Caenorhabditis elegans: one gene and its partners. The protein of the gene in region 3 binds, or shares a complex with, the protein of the main gene of each other region. Each region holds a gene or a part of one and is shown on either strand. Other genes may lie near its edges.

Region 1 (7,466 bases), on a different chromosome or scaffold from region 3:
CCCATTGCATCATCAATTAAACTTCCAAATAGTTTTTGTGTGTCTTCATCAGAAAAGTTGATTCCATCACCGAATTCCATTGATTTTAGAGTGTTCTAAAAAAAATTAAATTAATGATAATATTTTCATGAAATATTCTTACTTGGAAACTTGTCTGCAAATCAGCTGTCGGAGGTCTTAATCCATGATAAAAATCATCAAGTGACTCATTTTCTACTCTGGTCTTTGTAAGGTATTTATAATAATCCAAAGTATCAAAATGTGCCGGTGTCGGTGGAATTCCCCAAGCTTTGCGTGTTGCCATCAACGTTGGATGCCAATCTCTACGCCATGTCTTTTCTGCGCGGGTCCACGGTCGCTCGTACGGTGAGACGAAATCAATTTTCTCTTTAATTGTTGGCATTGAATGGACCATTTCTGCAGTCTTGTAGTAGTCGAAAACGCGAACTCCTGCTCCAGATGCATCGCCAGCGTTCACAAATTCCTCTTGGAGCATATGCTTTGGCTCGTGGTGCTGATGTGGCTTTCGATAGTATGGCGGACGATATACAGTTGAAGCGTTCGCTGATTTGGCTGGAACATTTTCTGATTTTGGGGTGGTAACTTCGATTTCTTGTGATGATTGTGGTAGATCTGCTCCTGCAGTTGTTGCCTTTCCACGGCAGACTGTTCTGATCATCAGACTTCGTTTTAACCCGTGCATCTTGCAATTTCTGAAACAGGGCTGGTGAAGAATTAATGAAATATTGGAATTTCAAAAAACAAAGAAAGATAGAAAAATCACAGACTATGACAGTAAATGTAGCATTTCAGAAATATTTGTTTCAAATATTGTACAAATTTATTTAGTTCGAAAAAAGAAGAAAGCACGCTGAGGAAGTTGGAATTGAAAGGGAGATCAGTAGCAGGGCGTGTAAAACTGCGAATTTCAGTATAACAATCCAAGTTTTTAAAAAATTAAAAATTGATAAATATAGAAATGTATAAAACGGTTCACTTTTAATGAAAAGCTTGAGAAGACCTCTAAAAGTTTTTCTACGTTTCTAAATCAATTTTAGATCAAAAAGTGAATTATTATATTGAAATAAGCGGGTTTTGCACGTTTGCCTAAACACAACCCTGACCAGTAGTTGTTAGTGTCTGTGAGATCGTGTATTTGAAGAAGGTCCTCCAGAAGTTGAAGTAGGATTGCCGGGAGTAGCTGAAAATAAAATATTGACAATATTCCTCCAACAACTCATTGACCACCATAGAGATGAGCATTAGGAGATTCGGGAGAGTCAGAGGGTGTTGGAGATTCGTCATTGATTCCTTGCTGTGGTGTATCATAAGCGTTGAAGAGGAGTGGCGAATCATTGTCACCAGAACGAGAAGCTCGTGGACGTCGACCTACACGAGGTGGCATAACTCTCAACATTTCAGCTGATGAGACAGGGTTGACTGGCGTCGAAAGTGTTAGAGTTGGAGCAGCGACAGGAGTTCGAGCAGATGTTAAAGTCTGGAAATACGGAGAATAGCCATAAGATAAATATGAAAAAGTGAATAGAAATAAGTGTTCGAAACACCAACAACACAAAATTATGTCACCTGCACTTCAGTGAATGACATTTCACATCGATTCTAAAAGGTAATGTTTAAAACATTTAATTTAAAAAAAAAAATTACCGGTGCAATGGAAGTACGCGTGCACTCTCCCGTACTTGGTCCTGGAACGTCTCTGTTCTCTGAAAAAGCTAGGTTAGGAAAAATTAAATAAATCATCATCTCACTTCTATCCGCCGATCTGAGATTTCTCCTAGTTATGCCACGTGGAGGCTCACTCTGATCCATCGGCTCCATTTCGTCAATATCCATCATTTCGCATTTTGGCACGATCACAGCTGGAAGTACCCTCTTGTTCAGTTGATCTGTCAGCCATTGGATATCGTCCTCACACAATTCTAATTGTGTTAATGGACGCCGTAACATTGACATACTGAAAAAGAGTGAGATAAATTATTTAATTTCATAAAAACTGTGAATTGGCGAAAATGTGTATTTTTGGAGATTTAATTTTTAAACGGCAAAATCGAACCTATGGCTTAAATATTTCTGTAATTAGCGAAAAAGTAAGGCAAATTCAACAGAAATGACAAAATATACAGATGGAAGTGTTTTTCCTCACAAAAAATAATTTCAAACAATTTCTCGGCAACGGCAATAAATATATATTGAAAGGTTTCATAAACCTAGATTCTAACAATAATCAAACCATGATAAAAGAGAAAATATATTATTTTAACCAATTAGAACCGAACCTCCAGCCCCTGCACTAACGAAAGAAGGGTCAGAGACAACAAAAAGAAACAACAGGGATATAAGGAAAGTTTAGAAAAGACAGAATTCGAGTAGTCCTCGTAAAAAACCGAGGAGCTGAACAAATAAGAAAGAAAAATAATACTGAAAACTGAGAGATGACAGTCTTAATCTCCGTGTTTGCCACATCTCAATTTTCAGAACAGCATCAGATGAAGAAAAAGGAAAAAACATTCAAAACCGGAAGAACTTGTAAAGCCTAAGTCGCCTTGACTTTGTCTTGACGACCTTTTTCCAATTGAAGGGCGATTTGTTGAGCGCGGAGGGTCAATCTCTTCGTGTTTTCCATGACTTGCTCGTGGATGCTGACGGATTTGACACCCATCACCACTTGTCCCAACTTGCTGTCAATTTTAGCTCCTTCGATACGATACGTTCTGATCAAGTCAACAATCCAGCGTTCAGCTTCCTCTTGGCTCATATTCAATCGTCGTGCTAGCATTTCTATGGTAATGCACTGATGAATGCGGCAGAACATCTCGAAAATGAGAAGGCGTGCAGACTCGCGGAAATCTCCAAGGACAGCAGTCAGGAAGAAATCATTGGAGAGAACCTCTTCGCACTTTTGAAGCATCTCTTGAGCCTCGTCGAAATCATATTTGATGTAGAGACAGGTGAGGAAATCAGTGACGGGATCCTTGTAACTATGGCGTTCCTGTAGAAAAACAAATAATTAATCATATTTTCATATAGAAAATAGTTAAACTCACGATGTCAATGACCTTCACCAAATCTTTCAAGCTGTTCTTCTGGCGGCTTTTGCTGGTAACAACGGCAACAGCCAGATAGCGGAGCAAATGTGGCGCCAAAACTTGGATTGCATTCAAATAAGGTTGCTGGTTCAAGAACATTTCGATAATCTCATCACGCCCTTTTGGATAATTGTAGTAGACGAAAAGTGCCCAGTGCATAAGCCACGCACGTTGCGTAACAAGTTCCCATTCCGTGTCGAATGGATTAGCATCGATGTAAGCACGAAGTTTCAGCAAATCGTCACGAGCATGTTCCCATTCTTGGAGCAGAATTTCACTGGCCAACTTTCCGTAAAGAGCGTTCAAATAGTTTGGATCCGCTTGATTGACAAGGTTGCGGTAGTAGTAAAGGCACACGGATGCGACGGTGTAATTTCCGCATTCGTACATGAACTTGCTGTACTTGAAGAGGGTATCGACCATGTCTACTGTGAACTGCAAGAATTAAGATTATTTTCGAAACTGCAAAGCAAAAACGTACATTGTGGTTTTGAGTGAGATGCTCCAAAATACGGACATTTCCATCTCTTTCTCTGTTGTTATCCATCATTTCCTTGACTTCCGGTATTTCCAAAATGGCAACAACGGAGTCCACCTTGCTTTTCAGCTCATCTCTCTCCTTGATAATTTGCTTCTTCTTAGCCTCAATTGCAGCCGGAATAGGTTTTCCATTGTAGGTCTCTATAACACTATCAATCATATTGGTCTTGGTCAAAAGCTGGCGGTGCATTTCGGTCAGGGATTTCTCATCGTAAATCTGCAATTATCATTGATATAAATAAATTCAGCTATTTCAGAATCAACAATTTATTGTTTAAATCTTACTCCTCGTGGTTCGATGAACTCCAAGAGCGGAATGATCAAATGAAGATCGAGAAAAGGCGCCATGCGCTGAGTCAGGTCGAATGTCGACATTTTTACCTGTAAAATAAGCGTATTAGTATAGTAATATGTTCTAATAAAACTCCAATCAATTTTCTTAACGGAAAACATAAATAAAACAAAAACAATGAAATTGCAGAAAGAAAATCGAGAAATTAGGAGAAATTCGCCGGGAAAGGAGGAAATGATAAACAACGCGCGCTATGGAATATCGGAGTGTCGTTGCTACTGCCTGCCAACACGAGCCACCAGCGAAATGAGAACTGCGAGAAGTAGAACTACGAGAAGAATAACCGAAAACTGCAATTTGCGACATTTGAAAAATATTTCGGAGTTTTTTGGTTCTAAAATTTCAGTTAAAAGTTTTTTAATTTAAAATATTCAAATTGAGAAATTACGAACGAATCATAATGTTCCTGGGATTAGGAAGAGTTACAAGATATTAAGACCCGAGCCCGTATCGAGACCCACCCCGAAAAACATTGTGTGGCTTTAAAGCAATGCTTAAATATTGTAATTGTGAAATGTCAGTTTAAAATCACATATTAATTTTTCGAGTGGGTCCCGCAACGATCTCAATAATAGTGTGCCAAATTTTACCGATGTGTCAGAGACACAAGTTTTATGAAATTTCAAATTTTGAAATGCACAGAAAAGCGAACAGTAAAATTTAGAATGCTTTATTATTAATTTTTGGGAACAGACGAGACCGTAAATTCATGTGGTGTCAGGTTGCCCCATTTCGGTTTGATCAACATTAAATTCGGGTATTTGATGTCAGGAGGAATGCCGAATCTACGAAGAATACGATTCAATTCATATGGACCTCAAAACTATGAAGGAGTAATGCATCGAATTATTCACAGACCGTGGAATGGAAAGCGAAGACCAAAAGTGTTCAAGTGAGAATATAAATTATTTGTCGTAGAGCTGGCGAGTGGGCTACATGAAGAGCCCTGATTCTTGAGGGTAGTGTGCCACCCAGTTGAAACAAAACCTGACTATATAGTTTGACTTGTGGGTCTTGGTTACACATATTGTTTCTAAAGATCTTGACATACCGTATTTCCTCTATTAGTTCAACAGACTACTTTACTTTGAAAGGTTATATCTCGGTTCATTTCAAAGATATCATAAAACTATTAACTACAAAACGATATAAAAAGAACTACCAAATATTTCATCAGTTAATTATTTTTGAAAACAACCGAGATATAAGCTCTCAACCGTGAACGATGGGGTGCCATACTAATTGAAGAAATTCTTGCTACCTATCTACTGTAGAGATTAAAGGAAAAAAGCTAAATTATTTTATTTGAAAAATAATAACATTCAGATACAAAATAGACGAATTGGATTGTACACTTGGATGGGATATTGAGAGCGACGATGGACAAATTGCAACCGTCAATTTTATCGAAGAATGCCTTGATTTTGTTGTATGGAAAAACGATAACTATTAATTCAATTTAAGCCAGTTGCTGTTATGTCAGAATACACTGAAATTGACCAAGATATCAAAATAAAAAAGGCAAACAATTTTTAGATCTCAATTTTCAAATAACCGCTAAAATTTGTTCAAAACTGTTTTGGTAGATTTCCAGCTGCCAAATCTTAACTTTTTGGGTGCAAACAGTTTTTTTTTCAAGTTGGAATGTTATATTTTGATATTTGGGTCTTTTCGAATTTTTAAAAATGTCCCCCACTAGCACTACTCCATTTTACCCTCTGTTTTATAAATGTATATGTTATTCAATTACTCTCAAATTATCATATTATTTATATTTTCATTCTAATCCATGCTTTTTCAAAGACTTCATTTTAAAGAAACCTATAATATTATCGAATCCAGATTATAGGAATTAGGCATGTTATGAGGTGTGTAACAGGCGCCAGAAAGCAAATAGTTAGTAGCGAACATTTTTATTTCCCGATAAAATGTTAATTAAACATTTTCAACAAAGAAAATTTACGGAGAAATCAAGGAAAAATCGAAAAAAAAGTGACCTTTCGTGAAACGTGAAAATGTCTTGATGAACTGATGAATCGAGAAGAAAAATCTATTAATCAATATTCATCGAACCAAAATCGACCAATTTCGCAGTATTTTGAATTCATATTTCTCTGGCAAATTGTTGAAATGGCAACGGAAAACAATACAGGTAAGAATTTTATGCAGATTTTCAGAGAAAATAACTAATTTTCAGATGTTTCTGAGAACCAAGAAGAACCTGATGAACTGAGTCCAAAAACGAAAGCTTTTGCTCCAACACTCGAGAAGGTCTGGAAGCTCAAATTTGAGAAAGTTCTCGGTAATCATTTGGAAATTAATTCCAATTTATAATTCATTAATTTACAGGTAGTGGCTCCTATTCCCGTGTGGCACGCGCAACTTTCGGAGAGAAAAAGCTCGAAGTTGCAGCGAAAATCATCAACATTACGCCAACTCGTGAAAAAGAGGACTACATCAAAAAGTTTTTGCCACGTGAAAAAGAGATTGTCAAGCTCTTGAAACACGATAATATTTGTCGTTTGTACGAGATGATTTCATTTCAAGATCACATCATCTTCGTCAATGAGTACTGTGCTGGAGGAGATTTGCTCCGTAAAATGAAGGATATCGTGGCAATGAAAGAGGAAGATGCAAAGTTCACATTTCGTCAACTTATTGCAGCACTTACTGTAAGTTTTATATCAGAAAACTGTTTTTCTTAAATTTATAAATTCAGCATCTGCAATCCTATAACATTGTGCATCGGGATCTCAAATGCGAAAATATCTTTATGGATAAACATGGAAATGTGAAGCTCGGCGACTTCGGATTCTCGAGAATTCTGAAACCGGGTGAAAAATCTGGAACATTCTGTGGATCGCGAGCATATGTGGCTCCAGAAATTTTTCGTGGCAGAGAATATTCTGGAAATGCAGTTGACGTATGGAGTACTGGGGTCATTCTCTACATAATGCTGGCTGGATCAATGCCATTTGATGATCGTGACCCAAGGAAAATGATCGAGAGACAGTTGGCACATAAAATTAAGTAGTTTTTTTTTAAAAGACAACTCAAGTTAAATTTCTCATTTCAGATTCCCGAAAAGTTGCACATCATCGGTCTTTTCGAAGGCTCTGGTCCTTGAGATTCTCCAGCCACATGCACCGAACCGTCCGACCTACAAAGCAATTTGTGAATCTGAATGGCTCCGTACTCAACCGTACTACATGAAACCCAATGAGCCACCAAAAGTATTGGCAACTCGAATTGTGTCACCTGCAACTCCGATTGTTCCTGTCTCAGGAAAACCGAAAGAAGTCAAGAGACAGCAAGGATGAACGGCATGTGAACTTATTGTGACAGTGAATAAAGCATTTTAGTAGATTTATTCTTTTAAAACAAGATTGTAGTTTGTCTGTCATAAAGCGATTTCATGCCTTTGCAGTGTATCAAGAAAAGTACACAACCTCTTCAATTGAACATTT
Region 2 (7,042 bases), 2.8 Mb from region 3:
CGGAACGAAAGGATCTTTTGGTGGAGGCAATCCAAATGCAACGTGAGTTGTGATTTCTAAAAATGTGGAAATTTTCCTTCATTTCCCATTGCTCTCCCTTGACGGTTCATATCTCAGTTTTCTCAAGCAAGATTATTCAAAAACTGTTCAACTATGAAACTAAAGAAAATTATTTGGCATATCATACTTTTCGTAATATTACTGTTCAAAATGTTTTGCTAAAACCAACGTAAACCGATATGAGAGAAGTCAAAGTTGAGCAAAATGGTATAGGAAAAACACTTTTCGTTCGATTCAATGAAATATTGCTAGAATTTATCCTAATTCAAAAAATTTACTCAATTTATTCCAAACAAAATTTTAAAATTTTAAAACATTTGTATAGTCTTTTGAATACAATTTTTTATCGTGCGCTCCTACAAAAGCTTTCAAGATACATTTTGTTTACGTAGAGTTTAATGTTTCAATTATCTTATTTTACGAACAATTTTGTGAAGCTTGGTGACTGCAATCGTGGTTAGACCTACGTAGAACTTACCTTGACAGCGAGGTCTCATGATTTTGCGAATTTACCGTTGACATTTTCAAAATTAAAAATTCATGAATTTACAATTGCAATTCGACAAATATATATTTCAATTTCTTTCAAAGAAGACTTTTTTGAATTTCGTATATTCCAAGACTGGAATTTAGGTGTGTAATAACTTGAAATAATTTGTCACAAAAACTAAGTCAACTAAAATATTAAACAGATAGATCTACGACATTTTGTTGCAACCTATTATCAGAACTAGACGAACAATGTTCTAGTGACCGGCTTCAGATAACCAATGATCTGATGTCAACCAGATCACACCTTTCAAATCAGAATGATGTCATGATTTTATTTTTTGAAAAAAACACGAAAAAAAACAGTTGTAGTGATCGAAAGATTGCTACACATAGATGACGAGAAAACCGTGCAGTGTCACTTGACCTCTATAAGTGTAGCCTCCAATTACATTTTGTTCTCACACTGAATCAGTCATGACTTGATGGTCAAGACGATTCCGACACAAATATGTATGGTGGTTTGTGTTCGTATCATTGTGTGTGACGTCACAAATCCCGATTTCTGATCGTATCCTGATCCGAAACAAACGCAAACAAGATGGAACAAGTATTTTCACACACCCGTTCATAAAAAGTGTTTCTTTTAGGGGTCTTCCAATTGTGGTAATTCACGGGTTGGCTGGATACGCTGGATTATCAAAGAAAAGTTTATTGAACAAATACTATTCGTATGGGCAACCAAAGGGAACTGTATTCGCAACAACATATGCAAGAGGAAAGCTGATGGACTCATTGCAACACGGAATGCAATGCGATTATGTGTTGAAGGTAGGTGTAAAGAAATGATGGGATTATATAATAGACATGAGAAATCATTTTGATTTGGGAATTTAATTTAGACTCTGAAAACTACAAGAGGAACACTTGCAAAAGCTAAGATCAAGTGTAGTGTAACTATTGTCATCATCACCAACATCATCATCATTAAATCTAATCTTTACAATGAGAAAACCTCGCCATATCATGTCTCCGTTCTGACGCGGCGCCACTGGTGTAGTGAATGTGTAGTTTGTGATGGTCACAGTTAGACTGGCCTTGTGGGGGAATTTCTATAACTTCTGGGTTTGATCTCGTCTGTTAATATAGATAAATAGAGAACAAAGGGATGATCGGTGATCTTTCAAGACCCGATTGATAACGGCCGGAGTGACGTTGAAACGGAAAAAGGACGTGACCCGAAAAAAGAAGGGATTGTTTACAAACTACACAAAACACAGATTTATAATGACTGGTTGGGTAGACATCTTTCGGAAGGGATCCGGATTGAGAAGGATATTCTAAAAGAAAAGATGAAGGGGAATCTATAGGTGAAATAGGGATTACAATCAACGAAAGGAATATTGCAATCCAAACTGTAACTCTAAAATTTCAGGTTCGCACTCTCATTCTTGCTGTTCATGAATACACTCAGAAACCAGTAAACATCATTGCTTGCTCCATGGGATCTCCAATTACCAGAAAAGCTATTCTTGGAGGACACTGTGTTGATAGTGGAGTCAATTTGGGACGCCCAATTAATCATCTAATTCATAATTATGTTTCTGTTGGTGGAGCAAATCACGGAGCTATTATGTGCGCCAAGCAGCCATTTGTGAATGGAATCTGTAGTTTAACACATGGTTTGGATTGCCGTTCCAAGTTCTTACAAGAGATCAACTCACAGTAAGTTTCGCAAAAAAAGTATCCCAGCACAGGGAATTGAACTCATGCAGGTGTGCGTGAAAGGCAAAACTTTTAGCCACTAAGCCAGCAAGGCTTTTCATTTTTTGGGTATACTAGGGCATACTTAAATTTAATTACGTTGTTTTCTGTACACATAAACATTAATTTCATGATTTTACAAGTCAACATTTTTTTCAGGCCGTTCCAATACGGAAAGAACATGTTCGCCATTTATTCCGTAGCTGACGAAGTTATTGGACTCAGAAATACGTGTGGAGAGATGTCCTCACCATTAGAAGGAGCCACTTCAATCGTCAAAACTAGACTAATGCATGGAGCAGTTATTGGTGGAACTACAGAAGATCAATGGAGGGCTCTTCAAACCTCATAAAAACAAAATCTCACCAAAAATACTAATTGACATCAAATTTCACTTGTGATCTCTTTAATTTCCTTGTTTATATTGATTCGAACTCGTTGCTTTCATTCAAAACTTTGTGTGTATATTGTTCAAAAGTTTAATAAATCAGTACAATCGTTGATTAAATTGGTATTTTGAACGAAAATGATCAGAATGTTAAATTCGTCCAAGTGATCAAGTCCATCAGGCGACTTGTAAGAATTCTCATAAGAATAGAGATAGGAAACTGCTATATTTCGCAGATCAATCTAGACACATGATACAATGTTGTGATTTTCTCCGAAAACGAAGATATTTATTATTTTCTTCAGAAATCTCTTCCGATGAGACTGAATAATCTGTGAAAACCGGAGCGGCGGCGCCATTTGGCTTTTGGGCAATACGGTGCGCAATTCTGCAAACACATGATCCCACGCGCAAATGCACAGATTTCCCAATGCGTCGTTGTTTCCCAAATTTTCGATTTTCGGGATATTTCTACATTTTTAAAAGATTTCCAGCCGTGTTTTTGTTGTAGAATATTTTTTTTACATATTTATAGTTTGTTTTTATAGATATTTGCTAAAAACTATGAATCTAGTTGAATATTCGCTTATTCTGGAAAAAAAAATCAAATACTTTAAAATCTACATGTTTTGAAGAGCTGTTTCTTTTTAATTCTGAAGTTTGTTAAACCATTTATTTGAAATTTTTTCTTATTTTATATTGCTAAAAACATAATCAATAGTTTTTCAGGTAGTAAAGTTACAGCTATGACTGGCATTAACGCGTGAGTTTTCACCCTCGAATAATTATTTACGTAAAGAAAGTTTCAGAATGGCTCCCGCTCCAGAAGTTGTAAGCTGGGCTGAGGCCGTTGAGCAAGACAGTAAGTTTTTCATTTCTCGTCTTCAAGAATATTTACGTGAACTTTCACGGTTTTCGCATTTGGAGTGCAACCGCCTAACAAAACGAGTCATTTCTGTATGAACTGATGAACGCTTTTGCAGACGCCCCACACATCCAGGAAGGAGCTGATGGAACACGTACCGAAACAGCTTTCACTGAGGTTGATGGAGTAAGATGGAAGGTTTGTTATCCGATGGCCAAAAAATTCGCCTTACAGAATTCTCGAGTTATGCTCTAGAATTCTTTCAATTCCAAATTTCAGGTTGTGACACAGTTCAAAGTTATCAACAAACGTGTACCAAAAGTCGTCGCTGATCGCAAAAAATGGGTGAAATTCGGAAGTTGTAAGGGAGAGCCAGCAGGACCCCAAGTTGCCACAACTTACGTGGCTGAAGAAGTCGATATGCAATTCACAAGAAATCGCGCAGGAGAGCAGATTCTTGACGTTCAAGAAGACAAACAGACTGCTAAAACTACAAGCCGTGAGCATTGCCGTCATTGCAAAGGAAACGACCATTGGAGTACTCATTGTCCTTACAAGGTCATGTACCAATTGGACGAGGAAGCTGATGCTGACAAGGATACTGAAAAGGATAGAATGGCAATGGGAATGCGTCCTGATGGAAGACAAATCGATAGAAATCGGTAAGCATTCAAAATACTGTAATCTAAGTTGCCCAAAAAATCTTGATGATTGAATAATTTATGAACTATTTTTAAAACATACTTTCAGATCCGATGAGAATACATGCCGTGTCACCAATCTTCCGCAAGAGATGAACGAAGACGAACTTCGTGATTTGTTCGGAAAGATTGGAAGAGTCATCCGAATCTTCATTGCCCGTGACAAAGTCACTGGTCTCCCGAAAGGATTCGCCTTCGTTACATTTGAATCAAGAGATGACGCCGCCCGTGCAATTGCAGAACTCAATGATATCCGAATGTACCATATGGTTCTCAAAGTCGAATGGACACGTCCGAGCAACTAATCCGTTTTCTGATTTATTTATGTTATGCGTACTTGGATGTTTTCCCGCTGTTTGGTTCTTCATAATTTCGTAGCTAGTGTCTGTCTAAACTGAAAATTACTGTAGACCAATTCGATGTTTGTTGTTCTTTCCTATTGAAATCATAATTTTTACTTTCTATGGTTATCAGAGTTGGCAAGTGAAGTTTATTTTCACGAAGGCAGTTCTAGCTATGAAAATTGTTGGTATTTCCTTTTCTTTCTTCAATGATAAATCTATCTCTTCCTGGTTATTTTTTCGTTCTATTTTTCCAATCGAGTTGGGTTTCTGTCCAATGTAAAATATCATAGTTTGAATAAAAATCTGATGGCTAAAAATTTTCAAACGCAATAGAACATTTTATAACTCAAAAATTCCAGATGGGCTTCTTGAAGATTCTCCGTAAGCAACGTGCTCGGGAACGCGAGATGAGAATATTAATTCTTGGATTAGACAACGCTGGAAAGACTACTTTAATGAAAAAATTCCTCGACGAGCCGACTGATACAATTGAACCAACATTAGGATTTGATATCAAAACCGTGCATTTCAAAGATTTTCAACTAAACTTATGGGATGTTGGCGGACAGAAAAGTCTAAGATCTTATTGGAAGAATTATTTCGAATCCACAGATGCTTTAATTTGGGTGGTAGATTCGTCAGATAGAGGTAGAAACAAATATTTAGGATACATTCAAATTTATAAAAACTTTTTTCAGAGCGTCTTCTACAATGCTCCGAAGAACTCAAAAAATTGCTCGGAGAAGAACGATTAGCCGGTGCTTCTCTTCTAGTTCTTGCCAACAAAAGTGATCTGCCAGGGGCCATTGATGTGAATTCAATAGCACAGGTAATTCAGATGTCTTCAGTATATACTTCCGAAAAGAAATGCTTTCTTGTAAGCCTTAACATGTAGATATTTATATTAGATTCATTATTCACATGTTACTCTCGTAACATACATTTTGAAAATGAAGAAAATCTTTAAAGAGGCACGGAAACATAGGAACCTTGAAACTACTCAACCTATTAAGAATTTTCTAGGTACTCGATCTCCATTCCATCAAATCCCATCACTGGAAGATCTTTAGTTGCTGTGCACTTTCTGGTGATCGACTGGTCCAAGCAATGACATGGTTATGCGATGATGTTGGAAGTCGATTATTCATACTTGATTAAAATTGTTATCAATCAAACTGCTTTGATCTCATTTCACACTGCTTGTAAATATATAAAAATTATAGATTTTAATTTATTTTTCATTGAAAAACAAAATAATAAGGGCTTCAATAAATTATATAAGAAAATTGCACACCGAGATTTCGGTTGACATGGTTGGAGATTTAACAAGCTGATTGCATCTTGTCGGATGGCACCATCATACGGGATACGATCATATAAGTGATGAAAATAGCCACGAAAACGGTAAGACCAAGGAAGACAGTGACAACGGAGATATGGAAAGAGCTGATACACAATTCTTGTCGGAATGAATCTTCTCCGATTTCTCTCGAAGCTACGAGAGCTTGAGCTTGTGTGAGAGAAGATGGGAGCTGAAAACAATGAATGAGCAAATGAACACCATTTTGACAACTTACATTTCCTTCCAAAACTTCCAAAGTTGTGAGCTCAGCACGGACATCAAGAATATTCTCCATTACTGGAGCGGATCTCTTCTTCAAAACTCTGAAGAACTGAGCAGTTTGGTTAGCTTGCTTAACTGCTCCAAATCCTTGTGGCTCAGAGCACGTTGGGCGAGCACACTCCTCATTTGGTTCCTTAACAGTAATGGAAATCTGGCATTGATAGAAAAGTTGAGAACGATCAGCGTATTTGTAGACGTGAGCCTCTTGTCCAGCCATCAAATCAGTTGGATATTCCAAATTGTTGAGCAAGAACTTATCAAGAGCACAACCGTTCTCATCCAAAATTTGCACGGTATCACCATTTCCATCATCAACAGTGCAAGAGTGAACGACAGCGCAGAAAGTATCAACGGTTTCAGAATCACAGGTCCATTTGTGATAGACTTGTTGTCCAATAGTTGCGAATTGAACTGGTTCTCCAGTTGGTCCTCCGTTAAGAATCTCGTATTTACAGATTGGCATTGGAACAACCTGGGTTTGGAAAGCGGTGGTAAGATCAGAGACTTCAATTTGGGTAGAGACTGTCTTGTCGGCTTCCATGTAGAAGCATTGAACACGGTAGGCACTGGAAATTCAATTTGCATTTTTTTAACGAGAAGCTTCTAGTTGATATCAAGCTTTATAATTTCGGTATCCTAAACCTTCAAGAAGCATTCCTTAAAAATTACAGAAGTTTCATAGTCTTACCGATCAACCTTGGTGACAAATTGGGGATGGAAAGAGACGACGACAGTTGTGGTAACGAAGACTCCCTTTGGATTCAGAGATCTGGTACGAGCAACGTTGCAAGTATCGAATGGAAGTTC
Region 3 (8,119 bases):
ATTGATTTGTAGAGAATTCGGATGAATATTGAATCAAATTTGCACCTCCTTGAAGTTGTCCAATTGCTTGTCGATTTTCAACATTAAATTTGGCACTCTTCGATTTATTAGATGTGCCAACGTGGAACGTGTAGTGAGGCTCTTTTGGCATTCCAGCAGGAACATCCACCAGCAAATATTCAACTGGAAGTGGTCGTCCGTTTTTCATAACCTCGGCTCCGTATTCATTTTTCATCGAAAATTGAACATCAGTTATATAATGTTCTTCGGATAATGGTGTCTCTCGAACATAAGCCAATTCAGGAGTGTACAGTGTTGGACAGAGAATATCAGCTTCAACCATGGCCGCACATTGATTTGAAACTTGATATCCGTGGAAATTAACATGCATCGATTCATCACCAGATGCAACAACGGTCACAAATTTGGATCCATAGTGACGATCCATCGAGTACTCTGTGATGTTTGGATGTTGATTTTGAAGCATTGCTGCGGTGATGCATTCCTCAGCTGATAGGAAGAAGGAATCCTGAAAAATTATTCGTTTTTTGGGCTTCTCTTCGAGATTGTTCTCACCTTGTGCCGTGTATAATGTACAGTTCCTTCAGCACTATTAGCTGTCCAACAATCTGTGAAGATCCATCCAACACGTTGCAAGCCAAGCATTTCCAGCAAATTGTCAATAGTTTTTTGATTTTTATCCTCCAAAAACTCAATTCCATCTTCACGGCAGTGTTGTGGAGGTTCATAAATTGCAGCCACTGTAGCCTGAAAGTATGAGCAATGAAATAACTCGTCTCAAGAAATGAGTGATGAAGTACTGAACTTACCTTGATTCCTAGTGGAACTTCAAGGTGAGGCTGATACTGTCCAATTAAAAATCCAACACGCTGATGGCCCGATAGTCTCCAATAATCCAAAAACTGATTTACAAGCTCTTGATTTTCAATTTGAATGTTATCAACATGACGAAACTTTTGACGATTCAATGTTACAACCTGTGGTTTGCATTTAGTGCAAATTCCTTTCGGGAACGGCTTGTGAGCATCACAGTTGGGTTTTAATGAACATCGAAAGTTTTCCAGCGGTTTTTTGAGAGTCGTGCCCTTCCCCTGGGATCCAAGGAGCTTGCGAACATGTGCATGGAAGCTCATATGCTTGATATCTTTTTCTTTCAAATATTCTTCATCGAATGGCTGTAAATATTGATATTAGTTTCTATGAAAACAACAGAAAATATCACTTACATCAACAGGCAAACAATTAGTGCACTTTTGACGTACAGGATGCCGACAGTTGGGCCCTTTTGGACGCTGAATTTGACCATCTTGCGTGCTTAAAAAAACATCAACGTCGTTGACACGCTCAGTTTGAGGGACTTCAATTACCATATCTGAAATAAAATAGATTTTTAAATGCAGGAAGATATGCCTTCTAGGTAGTGAATTGAAGATATATAATTTTGAGATTTTGCAAAAATAATGCAGCGGAAAGGGTATCAAATTAGTTTCCATACATATTCAAACATTAAACAGCAAATGAAATAAAACATTTTGTTTTTAGAATAAAAAATGTCATCAAAACTGCCTAGACAACATGAATGACGAGCAAATGCGTACACAAAAAACCGTGCGGCACTCTTGCGAAATCCCATGCAACGCTTGCAATTTTCTTTTTTCCATCACATTTTCCAATTCCTTTCATCAAATTTTACAATTAAAAAAATGTTTTCTCTTAATTTTAGCGTACCTTTTCGAATTTAGTTTGACATTTAAATAATATCAATATAAAAACCTTCTTTCAGTAATGTCTCGACGCGTGGAATTCGATTTATCCACTGAAGATCACTCTGATCGTCGTCGCACCAACACCTTTTCTTGTAAGTTCACAGAATGCTATTTTTCAGAATTGATGAATAAGAGTAAAATGAGTTGAAAAATGTTAAAATTTGAAACAGTTCGAAAAGACTGAAGACTCGGTCCTTTTTTGATTAACCGATTTATTTTAATTCGGCAAACAGACATTTGGAGAATTTGGTCTGAAATAATTTTGCATAAAAACTGCAGATTAACATTCCATGAGCAAAATACATAAAATTCAGAAAAACCAAATTTTCCAAATACTGTTACAGTGAAGAATCAATGCCAATTCTCAGAACTCCCTCATTGTATATGAAAATGACTACTTTTGTCATTTTCAGTGTTTTTCGGTGTCGAATATCCTCAAATCTCAGATTAAATGAATCACAGCTTTATTCATTTGAAAGAAATAATAAATGAAAAGGTGTTCATAAGAGTTCATAAGAAGTTAATCATTTAAAAGCCCGAGAGAGAAGTTGAGTATCAGAGGATCAATGATCGTGCATTGTGAAATCTTTTCAAAAGAAAAATTGATAATCAATCAATAGAGTAATTCTATAAACATATTTATGGTAGTTATTTAGGTGCTTGTTAACAACACAAACTTATCTCATTTCTTAATTTTTAACAGCTTCAGCCGATGAGGATGGAGTTCCAAATGAGGTCGCCGACTACCTGGTCTACTTTTCCCGCATGGTTGACGAACAAAATGTGCCGGAAATTTTGACTCTCTACGATCAAGCTTTTCCAGATCTCACCGAGAGGTAATATTTAATAATCTCAAATTGTTTTCTATTTATCTTTTAATTTCAGATTCTTCCGTGATCGCATGTGGCCCGATGAGAATGTTGTCGAAAGAATTATTGGACCTGGCAACAAGTTGTTCATAATTCTCTACAAGGAACTCTATTATCGCCAGCTGTATGCAAGAAATACTCGTGGACCACTCCTTGTCCATCGCTATGAGTCGTTCATGAACTATCAAGAGTTATTCTCTGAGCTTCTCTCAAGCAAGGATCCAATTCCATTGTCTCTCCCTAACGTGTGGCTTTGGGATATTATCGACGAATTCGTCTATCAATTCCAGGTAATATTTTTTGGTAGAGTTTGTACGTAATATAAATATTCAGGCATTCTGTCTCTACAAGGCTAACCCAGGAAAACGCAATGCTGATGAAGTTGAAGATCTCATCAATATCGAAGAAAATCAGAACGCGTGGAATATCTATCCAGTTCTCAACATTCTCTATTCGCTTCTATCAAAATCCCAAATTGTGGAGCAGCTCAAGGCATTGAAGGTTTGTTTAATTCAATATTATTTTTTTGCTTTCAACTCTACAGTCGTTCCAGGAAAAACGCAATCCGGATTCGGTCGCCGATGAATTCGGTCAATCGGATCTCTACTTCAAGCTTGGATATTTCGCTCTCATCGGACTTCTCCGCACTCACGTTCTTCTAGGAGACTATCATCAGGCTTTGAAAACCGTGCAATACGTGGATATTGATCCAAAAGGAATCTACAATACAGTTCCAACTTGCCTTGTTACTCTCCATTACTTTGTTGGATTTTCTCATTTGATGATGAGAAATTACGGAGAAGCTACAAAGATGTTCGTCAATTGTCTGCTTTATATTCAAAGAACAAAGAGTGTTCAAAATCAGCAGCCATCGAAAAAGAACTTCCAATATGATGTTGTGAGTACTTTCTAAATTTTTTGCACAATATTTGCACAATAATTGAATATCTAATGAAGACCCAATAATATTCTGCCGATTTCAGATTGGAAAGACGTGGGATCAGCTTTTCCATCTTCTTGCAATCTGCCTCGCCATCCAGCCACAAAGAATCGATGAAAGCATTGCTTCTCAGCTTTCGGAGCGATGTGGTGAGCGTATGATGCACATGGCGAACGGGAATATCGATGAATTCAGAAATGCTTTTGCTACTGGGTAGGAAACGAAATTAGTCAAGTAATTGTATAGTATTGTATTGTTGCAGATGTCCAAAGTTCTTGTCTCCAACCACAGTTGTCTATGAGGGAGTCAACCAATCGAAAGAACCACTTCTTCGTCAAACTCAATCTTTCCTGGAAGGTATTGAATCACAGATGGCGTTACCAGTTCTTCGTGGATACCTGAAACTTTACACAACACTTCCAACTAAGAAGCTTGCGTCGTTCATGGATGTTGATGATGAGCACTATGATTCGTTCATTGGAAAGCTTCTCACTTACAAGGTATATATAAGAATTTCCGATGATCTCGAGTGTTGATGTAATATTTTGAATTTCAGATGATCGTCAATGAGCTTGGCAAAGAAGCCGGACCATCATCAGCAGACGACGATGAGCCACAAACAGATATTGACTTTTACGTAGACCGTGATATGATCAATATTGCCGATACCAAAGTTGCTCGTCACGTCGGTGAACATTTCATTCGACATATTCAGAAGTTGCAAGAGGTTCAGGATGTGCTCAAACGACTCGATATCCAGAAACCATGATCCTTAAAAAGTATTTGAGCTAAACGAAACATGACTGGTTGATTTCCGGTTAATTTCGTTTAGTTTCACACCAACTCCCACTCGTTTGTTAACATTATATCTCTTGTTGAAAATTAAAAACATCTCTCCGTTTATTTATACCACTTTCTCCTGTTGTTGTCTTTTCGTTTTGGTCCTAAACTTCCTTTTTTTCTCTTATCTCCCAATTATTTTGTATCCATGGTTCATAATAAGTTTAGTAAATTTTTTTGGTTTTTCTTATGAAGTTAATTTATGATTGTTTATATTCTACGCTCATCGCAACTACTTCTCAATTTTTTCCGAATAATTATTAATCTCTCTTACGAGTAGTCTTGTATGTACAGTGATAGACTGTACTTTGACCTATAGGTCCATGGTTTTCACCTAGAACGTAGTCTTATGTGTATTCTCCCACTAGTTATGCCTGCGTCTCCAGTCTCGAGGGAAGATAAGTAGAACAGGAGGACAACAACAATCTTTTCCATTGATCCCGATTTTTTTTCCCGTTTGTTTTCAAAATTAAAAAAAATTATTGTTTCTCTTCTTGGCTCGCCGAATTAATTCTAAATTTCGGAGTTTCAGATTCTACAGTAATCCTTTGAAGACAGTGTCAATAATAAAATGTTCAACACTGGGTGAGTTATATAAATAACTTCCCGTATAATAAAGTTCTGATTCTACAGAAAATTTGTCGGGCGAACAGTTCTGATTACTGGCGCTTCTCGAGGAATTGGAAAGGAAATCGCACTGAAATTGGCAAAAGATGGTGCAAATATTGTGGTGGCAGCAAAGACAGCCACAGCTCATCCAAAACTTCCTGGAACCATTTACTCTGCTGCTGAAGAGATTGAGAAGGTAATATAGAAAATTGCTGGATATAAATAATTTTAAGGAAGTTTTTTTAAACAAAAAACAATTATTTCTAGGCCGGAGGAAAAGCCCTTCCATGCATCGTCGATGTTCGAGATGAAGCTTCTGTGAAAGCATCAGTTGAAGAAGCTGTAAAAAAGTTCGGAGGAATTGATATCCTTATCAACAATGCTTCAGCAATTTCACTTACCGACACAGAAAATACTGAAATGAAGCGCTACGACTTGATGCACTCGATCAATACACGTGGAACATTCCTCATGACAAAAACTTGTTTGCCATATCTGAAATCTGGAAAGAATCCGCACGTTCTGAACATTTCACCTCCACTTTTGATGGAGACTCGCTGGTTTGCTAATCATGTTGCCTATACAATGGCCAAGTATGGAATGTCGATGTGTGTTCTCGGGCAGCATGAAGAATTCAGACCACATGGTAATATATTTGAAAAAATATTCGATTTTTGAAAATCTCGAAATATTTTTAAAAAATACGTACAGTGAGTACTGTAGCTCCTAACTATCCGAAGTGTTAGGGGCTACAGTCGTTTTTCGGTTTTTTTTTGAAAATCGAAAAATTTAATAATATAGTTCTCTTTCGATGTTTCAAAAATCAGCTTAATATTTTGGCCATTATCCCTCTTTTTAGAAGAAATTTCTATGTTTTTTCTCATCATTATAAGCAAAATTAGATAAAAAATTTTATAATCAATTTTCTGAACATTTTTTCGATTTTTAGATTTTCCATAGAATCGAAAAATCGAAAACTTTCGATTTTTCGATTTTCACTGAAACACATCGAAAAATCGAAAAAGTCGAAAAATGCCACCATTGGATACAGTACCCCGTAAAGGTGCACATACTTTTGTACGTACCGAGTACCATATTTTTGTGTAAGAAATTTCAGTATATCGAACATTTATAATAGTAAAATATTAATTTTCATCGTTATTTTAATTTCCATAATTCAGGTATTGCTGTGAACGCTCTATGGCCACTGACCGCAATTTGGACTGCTGCAATGGAAATGCTTTCTGACAAAGGAGGAGAAGCTGGAAGCCGTAAACCATCAATTATGGCTGATGCAGCATATGCAGTTCTATCCAAAAACTCCAAGGATTTTACTGGAAATTTCTGCATTGATGAAGATATTCTGAAAGCTGAAGGAGTTACTGATTTTGATAGGTAATTGCTCATTTTCTGGATAATTGGAATTTATTAATTTTTCCAGATATGCATGTGTGCCAGATGCTCCATTGATGCCCGATTTCTTTATTCCTGCAGGAACTTACGATCACAAGTTCTCATCTGGAGCACAGATCGGAAAAAAGAATAAGACTCACGAAGCCGGAGTTGTTGAAGAAGAGATCAAACAGATATTCACATCTGCAAAGCGCCTGCTTAATGCTGATATTGTAAAGAAAACTGGATTCGTGTATGAATTCTTGTTAAAAGGTCAATTCCGTTTGAAATCTATAGTTCTATATGAATTTCTTTAGACCCAACTACAAAAAGCGAGAGAATCATTACTTTGGACTTGAAAAACGGAGAAGGAGCACTGACAGATAAGAAGGCTTCAGGCAAAGCTGATGTTAAATTCACACTTGCTCCAGAACATTTCGCTCCACTCTTCACTGGAAAACTCCGTCCGACGACTGCTCTGATGACAAAGAAGCTCCAAATCTCCGGTGATATGCCAGGAGCAATGAAATTGGAGAGCCTTCTCCGCAAGTTCACCGAAGGAAAACTGTGAATAACTGATGCATTTTGTAGAATAAATTGAAAACTTTGGAGTATTTTTTTATTTTTGAATTGGTTTTTTTGTATATTTCTTGTAAACATGATAATTTTATTTGTAAATTAATTTTTAGATATGATCTTTTGAATGAATTTTCAAAGTTTGAACCGTAATTCTAGTATGATGTGAGCCGAGATACTTAGTTGGTGATATTACCCAGACGCGACTTTTGCAATTTTTGCGCCAAAAATACGCAGCCCAGTCTCGACACGTTATTTTTCTGTACAAAACGAGTGGGCCTTTAAAGAGATATGTAATTTCAAACTAATTTAAAGAAAACTTTTCATATTTGTCGATTAAAAATGTAAAAACAAATTTTAACATTTTTAAGTACTTTTTGAAGGAACACACCTTTTCGCATTTAACAAACACGTGCCGTGTTGAAACCGGGCACCGTATTTTTTTAAAATTCGACATTTAGTAATTCTGAATTAACTAAAGATAAAAGTTTCATAAGATGAAACACATAAAATCAATTTACTTTAATCAGTGACAATCTCGTTTCCCGTATCCAATACAAGATTTTATTGTAACTGTAATATAATGAATTACAGTCAATAGACTCTGATCGTTCAACTGTCAAAAAATGTCATCAATATTCGTTCACTCTATCTGATTTCTTGTTTTCTGCGCGTACTATCACCTCATTTATCATCATTTATGTTATTTATTCTTTTCCTCCAACTGTTTTCTATTTTATTTAATAATCGACCTCACTTCCTTTTTTTCAGAATTCTAAAAAAGGTTTCTTCCATCTACAAAGTTCTGACGTGAAAGAGCCCAGAAAATCACTCTGGAGCAAGGGAATTGGATACACATGGGAACTTAATATAAATGAACTTAGACAAACTTAGGAATATACGTCACAAAGTGAAAGAATATCACGTCGAGGTGGCCGCCCGTCTACATAATTCGGTTTCACAGAGTTATTGTGTCAAAAAATAAACTTTATTATGTGAAGCTATGTAAAACAAAAAATAGCCGACAGAAAGTTTTAAAAAATCCTACAGGAACTCGGAAGTATTAAGTTTTGAAAATCCATCAGTTTAGACAAAAGTTAAATTTT
Region 4 (7,637 bases), 3.7 Mb from region 3:
AAAAAGATCATGATCCAGTGTTTGATGCTTTAAAGGTAGTTTTTTTTGAATGATTAAAATTTAAATAATTTAATTCCAGGAAGCAGTAATCGAAGAAGCTATGCTGACGCACGGATGGGATGACAAAGCGATGGATTATCTCCGAGTAATTCAATTGAATGCAATGGAGGATCGTGCTGTTCAGGATAAACGATCATGGGATGCTGCATGCAATTTCCTTCACAAGGCTGCATCAGAACGTCTTGCAGCAGTGAAGAAGCAGCTTACTGACGACAGAGGACCGGGTTGGGCATCGAAATGGCTAATGTGGAAGACCCCAACTGCTGATAATCATTATTCATGTGTCATTCAGGACGAGCTTTACTCAATTTTAGGAGCAGATCCAGAGCACAAACAGGCGTTGACTGATGATGATATTACTGTAATCAGAAGAAATATTGAGACGAAAGGCGTACTTGAAGTTCCCACTGAATCGATTAGAAAACAATGGAAATTAGTATTTAAGAAGCACTTTTTGGAGAGGATAATTAATGTAAGTGTGACTGAAACATTTGAAATTAAATTTTTATAAAATATTTTCTGCAGAGCAGCAAGGACTGTCTATCGATGTATCAGATGTATCGTCAAGGAATGATTGAAGGACAAGATATCGATTGCCAAACCATCGTACTTTTCTACAGAATCCAAAAGATGGTCAACTTGACGTGTAACGCACTGCGGCAACAAATCACAAATACTGAACACAGAAGGCTGGAAAAAGAGATTAAGGAGGTGTTGGATGATTGGTCACAAGAGCCAGATATTAAAAAGAAATATTTGACGGGAAGACGTGTCGATCTTGCAGAAGAAATTCGTATGTTTTTTTCTGATCTTCAAATTTTTATTAATGAAAACCTGGATTTCTCATGCAAAGTTATACTTTTAAAATTCTTTAAATTCCAAATGTAATGTAAATTTTTATAATTGAGATTCCATTTTCAATTTCAAAATGTTGCGAAGTTTCATTCAAAACAAAATTATACATTCTCCATTTCAGAACAAGTTCGCCGAATCCAAGAGAAACTCGAAGAGTTCATGGCTCAATTACAACGTGAAAAAATCTGAAATCTCCTCGATGTTTGATCAGCTAAAACGATTTTCTTAGATTCTAGGTGTGTGCAATTGTTTGTTTGTTTGTTTGTTTCTAGTTCTATTATCACATAGACTCGAAAATAGGTTCTCTAAAACATGTAATTTTGTCACTTGTTTTTGTAAGTTTTCATCACGGCTTTTTGGTGCTTTTTTGCCATTTTATTTTATTTTTCCATCCTTTCATTGACACGAAAATGTATAGCTAGTCTTTTGCCTGCCCTCAATTTTTGATAGGTTATCTCAACTTTGAACCGGTTTTTTTGTTGTAAATATGATCTAGGTCTCTAATTATTGTGCTTTTTCCCCAATTTTATAATTTTTTAAAATTTAAACGAAGATTTTTCCCTAAACTAACATTTTCATTTGTTTTTTTTTCGTATTATGCTTCGGTTTTTCGATAGAAAATCCGCTTCTGGGTACCTTTTTTTATCCTGCTACCACTTGTTTAATTTATATTTAGATGTCCATCAACACGGCGAACACGCCGGACGGACTTGGTGTCCTACTGTATAATGGAGAAACCATCGTGATTTTTGCACAAGGAGTAGTAATGACACTAGGAACCAGTGAAAATGAGGTAATTTATTGCAGTATTTTTTTCATATCTTTTAAACACCAAAAATCTTCATTAGCACAAATGCTGAAAATTATAATCATATTTTCGAATTTATAGAATTTGGAAGGACGTCGAACGGGAACCATCTACCTCACATCACACAGAATCATTTTCATGCCAGACCCTGGAGATTGGCTGAAATCATTTGAAATTCCATTCAACAGTATGCAAGATGTTAACTTAAACCAGCCGATTTTCGGAGCCAACTACCTATGTGGAATCGCCTCGGCTGTTCAAGGAGGACAAATGCGCGGAGAGGTTAAATGGAGAATGACATTCAACAGAGGGGGATGTATTGAATTCGGGCAATCTCTATTGCAAGCAGTCGAAAGAGCTGTTCGAATGAGACCAGAGAATGCTCCACCTGCATATTCTCCACCAATTGGAGATTTCTACTCTGCACCGCCAGCTTATTATCAGCCGTCGCCGGATCAAGGTAAGATTTTTTGAACATTAAAAATAATCCTGAATTCGAAATTAAAATTACCTAAAAAATGTTAAGCGTAATCATTAGAGATTTGTATGAATTTGAACATTTTTCACTTTTTTGAAAAACGAAAAAAAAAGGAATCCAAGTTTGAAACATTTTTTAAAATTTTTTAAAGATTAATTTTTAAAAAAACGAGTTTTTTCTTTTTTTTTTCGATCACTTTTTGTTTAAGAGAGATTTTTTGCTAAAAATACCAAAAATCTTCAGTTCTGGTCAGACAGTTTTGCAAAAATGAAAACGTGCTCTAATGCAACTTTCTTCCACCTCGTTGCATTTTTGTTTCACAATTTTGTTGATTTTTGAATTGATTTTACCATCTTTCTTTGGATTTAATGGTTTTCTTATCAAATTCGTTAGAAAAATAATATTAAACCGCATTTAACTTTTTTTTTATTTTAAAATTATTCCCCGGTTAATCCGATTAATAATAGATTTCACATTTTCAGGACCAAATGGTTTCAATCCAACCACCGATTCGTTCCCAGATCAGCCGAACCCATCACGAGTTTTCATGAGCTCAGCACCACCACCATATCCAGGAATCGGACCAGAACGCGGCCCACATCCAACTGAAGAACTTCATGTTGCTGGACAATTTGAAGCACCACCAGCTTATGGTTCAGGAGAAACAGCCGATGGATTGAGGCGAAGAAATTAACTTGTAAATTTAACAACAAAAAATGACATTAGAGAAAGTGTTTAGTTCAAAATTATGGGGAAACACGTAGAAAACAAAGCCAATTTACCCATAATTTTTTTCCGCATCGAAAAATGATTCCAAATAAGCTCAGAAGTCTAGTTGCACACAAAAACTATCTAAAATTCCACCATTTATTTTTTGTTTTTTTTTTTAATTTTTGCACGTCTCTCTAAAAATCTCATGTGAATATAAGTAAAAGTTGTGATAAAACTATAAACTTTCGGTAGACTAAGTCTATGCCCTCTCTCTCTTGATGCCCCCTCTCGTTCCCAGGATAAAGTATATATGTATAAGTGGAATTATATCTCTTTCTCTGATTCACAGAACATTTATTTTATTTTCTCTTTTTTTTCGTTGAAAAACACAATTTTTCTTTTAATTGTAAATAAATAAATAATTTAAAATATTTATTAAGAACTTTATATTTTTTATTGATTTTTTCAAAACCATTTTTCAGTTTTCAGCTGAATTTACTATTTTGATTCAGATTATTTCTTTAATTTAGTTTTTTTTTCAATTACAGGGTTCAGAAAAAAGTCAATATGGCTTCGAATTTAACTGTCAATGTCCACCCGGGAGTCTACATGAATGTTGTCGACACTCATATGAGACGTACCAAGAGTTCTGCGAAAAATACAGGACAGGAAAAGTGCATGGGAACACTTATGGGATACTATGAGAAAGGATCGATTCAGGTAAAAATATTTATAATTACAGAAAAAAGAGCCTAATTTTTTGAAAAAACTGAAATTTTGCAAGCTTATTGGTGTCTGGAACTGTATTTAATCTAATTTTTTTAATTTTATGTAAATACCATCGACCGAAAAAGTATCTAAAACAACGAATAAAAACTCAAAATGACCGAATGCTCAAGTGCTCACACAAAAATATGCCAAAATTTTGAAAAAAGTATACTTTCAGCTAAAATCTTCAATTTTGCAAGCTTTCCCGTGTCACAAAGGTCGGAACTTAATAATATTCAATTATTACAATTTATTGCATTTTTGTGGAACTAGAAGCAAGTTCTGGCCGCTGTAACCCTGAAAAGTTTGCAAAATGGATGATTTTCGCTAATAATATTTTTTTTGGAATTCATGATATTTTCTCCAATTTTTATTTTCCAGGTCACAAATTGTTTCGCGATCCCTTTCAATGAGAGCAACGACGATTTGGAAATCGATGATCAATTCAATCAACAAATGATCTCTGCATTAAAGAAAACTTCTCCAAATGAGCAACCAGTTGGATGGTTCCTTACAACATCTGACATTACTTCTTCGTGTCTCATCTATCACGACTACTATGTACGTGTCATCACTGAAGCATCGGCTCGTCGTGAATCTCCACCAATTGTCGTTTTGACAATTGACACGACTTTCTCTGGAGATATGTCAAAGCGTATGCCAGTTCGTGCCTATCTTCGCTCAAAAGCCGGAATTCCTGGAGCTGCTGGACCACACTGTGCTATTTTCAACCCACTTCGTGTCGAATTAGCTGCATTCCCGGGAGAACTGGTTGCTATGCAACTTATCGAAAAAGCTTTGGATTCCAGAAGAAGAGAGGCAACTCTTGAAAGTGGATTGGAGCAATTGGAGACGAGCACAGCTCAGATGATTGAGTGGTTGGAGAGAATGTTGCAGTGAGTTTTAACATTTAAAATTATCTTAATTGGAGAATAAACCGTGATTTTCAGTTACGTGGAAGATGTTAACAAGAACGGTGAGAAGCCAGGAGATGCTCAAATCGGTCGTCAACTCATGGATATTGTCACTGCCTCGTCAAACAATATGCAGCCAGAGAAGCTCGATACTCTTGTCAAGAATACTCTTCGTGTAAGTTTTCAGCCAAAAATATTTAAAAAGCGAGAAATGAAAAGTTGTGTAATATTCGTACGTGATTTTGAAAATTTCGAATATCTTGATCAAAATAGTTTTTTTTAATAACCTCAAAAAGTTTTTTTGTTGGAAATTAGTAAAGTTTATACGTTTTTCAGTTTAGTACAGAATTGTTAGTTTTTTTTTCTCAAAAATTGAGGAAATTAAATCTTTAGCTAAAAACACGAAAAATCTGCAAATTTAGGGAATGCCTATACATTTTCTGTGCCGCGCGAAACCCGGTAGATGTCGGGATATGATATCCGCTACCCTCCCGAATTTGAAATTAGCGTTTCCAATTTTTTGAAATTTATGCATACAATTAAATTGTCTTTATTATTATCTCAATTAGAGCATTGCACAAACACATAAATAGAAACTTGTAAATAAAAAACTTGTGAAACCTATCTTCTCAATGACCAAAAACCATGAAAAATGGGTGTATACTCATGTAAACAATATGCCCGCGAGAAAAAGCAGTTGACGAGAATCTAAAAACAAAAAAAAGCTAAACCTCTTCAAATATTTGTTTTCTTCTTTTTCAGGACTACGTGATGGTTTCGTACCTTGCCAAATTGACTCAAACTCAACTTCAAGTTCACGAACGTCTTGTGTCGGCCTAATTTTTGTTCTCCACACTATAAACTCGTTTTTGTCCCGATTTTTTCTAATATATTTTTTTTTGGTTGGCGTTTGTTGTTTTTCTTTCCATCCATTTATATCATCCTTCTTCCAATTCTTAAAATATTTCTCCCCATGTTTTCTATCTATCTGCCTTTTTTTTTTAATGGATTGTCTGAAATTAGTATTTGTTGTTTTCTTTTTCTCATAATTTAGCCTTCTTATTGATTTGGTTTTAAAGAAAAATCAATGTTTGAAGGTTTCTGATGATGATCACTTTCTATCGGATAAACCTCGTTGTTAAAGGCGTCTGATGGGATGACTGAATTGTTTTTTGCATGAATTTCTATATCTGGGCTCGGAATAATCTGATTTTGAAATTATCACTAGAGCGTTCAGATCTACATGAGAAAATAATTTTGAAAAAATCGATAAAAAATGAACGATCGAGTGAAAATTCGATGGAAGGAGGCTAAGGAGAGAATTGGAAACGCATATCACGATTATGGACGGTAAATATTTCGAAAAATTATCATGGATTTTAACATAAATCCGAAAAAAAACGAGTGTCCATGTACGAGAGATTTTGTACTACACTCGGACAAGTGTGCATTTTACAAAATCATAGTTTCACAGTTTTTGGCTATTTTTCCTCATTCATTTTGCATTAAATATATACTTTTGCATTAAAATTTTTGCATTACTTGTCCGAGTGTAGTATAATTTTTTTCGACATTCGCATGCTTTTTGTGTCCAATTCATCAGTATTTCTTAATAGTCTATCTGAAAATTTTTGAATAAAGTAGAAGTATAGTTCTTAATAATTTCTCTAGCAAAAAAACCAAGTTTCCGAAAATAAAATTTTTCAGATTATGTGCCGCCCATCCAAAAGCCTGCCTCTCAATGTCCCTTCTCACAATGATTGTCCTCTCATATCCAACAATCACACGTCTCCGTCTACCAGTCAGCACTCCGATTGATGTATTTTGGAGTGAACATTTACATGTTAATGGTAGAATATTCAATTAAAACCCAGAAAATCAGCTAATATTTAGACAAAATCGCCCCCTTCTGGATAAATGAAAATCCGGCATCATACATCCAGCAATTCATTGTCTCCACTACAATATCTCCATGGAATGCAACAGAAATGGGACCGGAGCATGCTGTTCGTGCGGCAATTGCGACGGCTTTTCGAATTCGTCAAATTCTGCTCGCAGAGCCCGCTGTCGAAGAACTATGCCTTCGGCTAGCAAATCAGAGACAAGACTCCTCATGGCCATTTCGTTCAAAATCACTCTGTGTTGTACTCTCGCCCGCCAGTATTTGGTACAATAATCTGCAAAAATTTCGAGAAGACGATGACACAATCACTACGGTTTTTAATGAGCATTGTAAATCCACGTTTTGCATGAGAGATTTGTTGTTGGGAGCACCTATTGCAGCGACAGGCATTAAGCAGAAATATCAGACGAATCGAAAAAGAAGTAGGATTTGAAAGTTAGGAAACATTTACTAATTTTGTATTTTTTCAGAAATCGAATTCGCTGTGACCATGTTTTTTGCAAGATATAGCAAGAAGGTTATTCAAGGAATAAGAGAGAAACTGCAAAAAGAATTTGAATTAGTTGTGAGTTTTGGATTTTACGTTTTCATTTAAAAAAAACAATTAATTTCAGGACACTCCGCCTAACGATCAACGAACATTTGTTCAGGTGTACTTCCATCCACTCAAGACTTTTTCAGATTATATTCCACTGATATCGACTTATTTCGTTTGCATGATCTACGTCTACTATTCTTCTCGTAAAATTCAAATGGTTGCATCTCGATGGGGACTTGCTTTTGCCTCTTCATTTACTGTTGCATCGACACTTCTTATGACAACTGGAATATGTGCTCATTTAGATTTGAGTACGACCACTTGGGGTTCCGAAGTATACCCATATATTGCATTGATTATGGGATTAGAGAACACTTTGTGTATAACTCGAAGCGTTGTTTATACATCTCCATCATTGGATGTTTCATCAAGAATTGCACATGGATTATCACAAGAAGGATATAAATTAACTAAATATTATATTCTAGAGCTTCTCGCGTTGCTTATCGGATTTTTAACGAGAATATCTGATATTCAAGAATTCTGCCAGTTTAGTGTCATTTGTGTGACTGTCGATTTTTACATGCAGCTCTTCTTCTATG

What was found.
Region 1: eif-3.L (region 3) and eif-3.E share a complex: the UniProt entries of both Caenorhabditis elegans proteins name them as parts of the eukaryotic translation initiation factor 3 (eIF-3) complex.
Region 2: eif-3.L (region 3) and eif-3.G share a complex: the UniProt entries of both Caenorhabditis elegans proteins name them as parts of the eukaryotic translation initiation factor 3 (eIF-3) complex.
Region 4: eif-3.L (region 3) and eif-3.F share a complex: the UniProt entries of both Caenorhabditis elegans proteins name them as parts of the eukaryotic translation initiation factor 3 (eIF-3) complex.

The regions. Positions count from the first base shown.
Region 1 is NC_003279.8:10,638,254-10,645,719, forward strand, and holds eif-3.E (Eukaryotic translation initiation factor 3 subunit E), read right to left. Parts: upstream 4,029-7,466; 5' UTR 4,023-4,028; coding exon 3,933-4,022; intron 3,865-3,932; coding exon 3,589-3,864; intron 3,543-3,588; coding exon 3,066-3,542; intron 3,011-3,065; coding exon 2,555-3,010; 3' UTR 2,270-2,554; downstream 1-2,269. Other genes in the region: mrps-30 (Mitochondrial Ribosomal Protein, Small), read right to left, coding at 1-95, 143-703; cdc-26 (Anaphase-promoting complex subunit CDC26), read right to left, coding at 1,134-1,201, 1,246-1,498, 1,666-1,724, 1,770-1,974; B0511.17 (DUF4283 domain-containing protein), read left to right, coding at 4,776-4,891, 5,326-5,452; tag-344 (Protein kinase domain-containing protein), read left to right, coding at 6,031-6,151, 6,197-6,301, 6,349-6,671, 6,719-7,029, 7,076-7,319. UniProt on the Caenorhabditis elegans protein: Component of the eukaryotic translation initiation factor 3 (eIF-3) complex, which is involved in protein synthesis of a specialized repertoire of mRNAs and, together with other initiation factors, stimulates binding of mRNA and methionyl-tRNAi to the 40S ribosome.
Region 2 is NC_003280.10:8,439,337-8,446,378, forward strand, and holds eif-3.G (Eukaryotic translation initiation factor 3 subunit G), read left to right. Parts: upstream 1-3,430; 5' UTR 3,431-3,447; coding exon 3,448-3,464; intron 3,465-3,510; coding exon 3,511-3,563; intron 3,564-3,684; coding exon 3,685-3,764; intron 3,765-3,845; coding exon 3,846-4,228; intron 4,229-4,316; coding exon 4,317-4,572; 3' UTR 4,573-4,839; downstream 4,840-7,042. Other genes in the region: lips-10 (LIPaSe related), read left to right, coding at 1-42, 1,200-1,380, 1,985-2,274, 2,473-2,665; evl-20 (ADP-ribosylation factor-like protein 2), read left to right, coding at 4,971-5,259, 5,310-5,440, 5,635-5,769; cut-3 (Cuticlin-3), read right to left, coding at 5,934-6,143, 6,189-6,801, 6,924-7,042. UniProt on the Caenorhabditis elegans protein: RNA-binding component of the eukaryotic translation initiation factor 3 (eIF-3) complex, which is involved in protein synthesis of a specialized repertoire of mRNAs and, together with other initiation factors, stimulates binding of mRNA and methionyl-tRNAi to the 40S ribosome.
Region 3 is NC_003280.10:5,616,169-5,624,287, reverse strand, and holds eif-3.L (Eukaryotic translation initiation factor 3 subunit L), read left to right. Parts: upstream 1-1,806; coding exon 1,807-1,879; intron 1,880-2,490; coding exon of another isoform or gene 2,491-2,496; coding exon 2,497-2,623; intron 2,624-2,672; coding exon 2,673-2,946; intron 2,947-2,989; coding exon 2,990-3,157; intron 3,158-3,200; coding exon 3,201-3,554; intron 3,555-3,639; coding exon 3,640-3,809; intron 3,810-3,858; coding exon 3,859-4,096; intron 4,097-4,152; coding exon 4,153-4,365; downstream 4,366-8,119. Other genes in the region: npl-4.2 (Nuclear protein localization protein 4 homolog 2), read right to left, coding at 1-529, 577-768, 831-1,196, 1,248-1,391; dhs-6 (Hydroxysteroid dehydrogenase-like protein 2), read left to right, coding at 5,008-5,021, 5,070-5,241, 5,313-5,691, 6,227-6,440, 6,487-6,710, 6,755-7,008. UniProt on the Caenorhabditis elegans protein: Component of the eukaryotic translation initiation factor 3 (eIF-3) complex, which is involved in protein synthesis of a specialized repertoire of mRNAs and, together with other initiation factors, stimulates binding of mRNA and methionyl-tRNAi to the 40S ribosome.
Region 4 is NC_003280.10:9,328,183-9,335,819, forward strand, and holds eif-3.F (Eukaryotic translation initiation factor 3 subunit F), read left to right. Parts: upstream 1-3,460; 5' UTR 3,461-3,479; coding exon 3,480-3,632; intron 3,633-4,061; coding exon 4,062-4,576; intron 4,577-4,630; coding exon 4,631-4,769; intron 4,770-5,356; coding exon 5,357-5,434; 3' UTR 5,435-5,788; downstream 5,789-7,637. Other genes in the region: eat-3 (Dynamin-like GTPase OPA1, mitochondrial), read left to right, coding at 1-35, 80-532, 586-853, 1,037-1,104; wbp-2 (GRAM domain-containing protein), read left to right, coding at 1,592-1,708, 1,805-2,183, 2,684-2,895; scp-1 (Sterol regulatory element-binding protein cleavage-activating protein), read left to right, coding at 5,871-5,944, 6,302-6,444, 6,488-6,919, 6,968-7,062, 7,112-7,637. UniProt on the Caenorhabditis elegans protein: Component of the eukaryotic translation initiation factor 3 (eIF-3) complex, which is involved in protein synthesis of a specialized repertoire of mRNAs and, together with other initiation factors, stimulates binding of mRNA and methionyl-tRNAi to the 40S ribosome.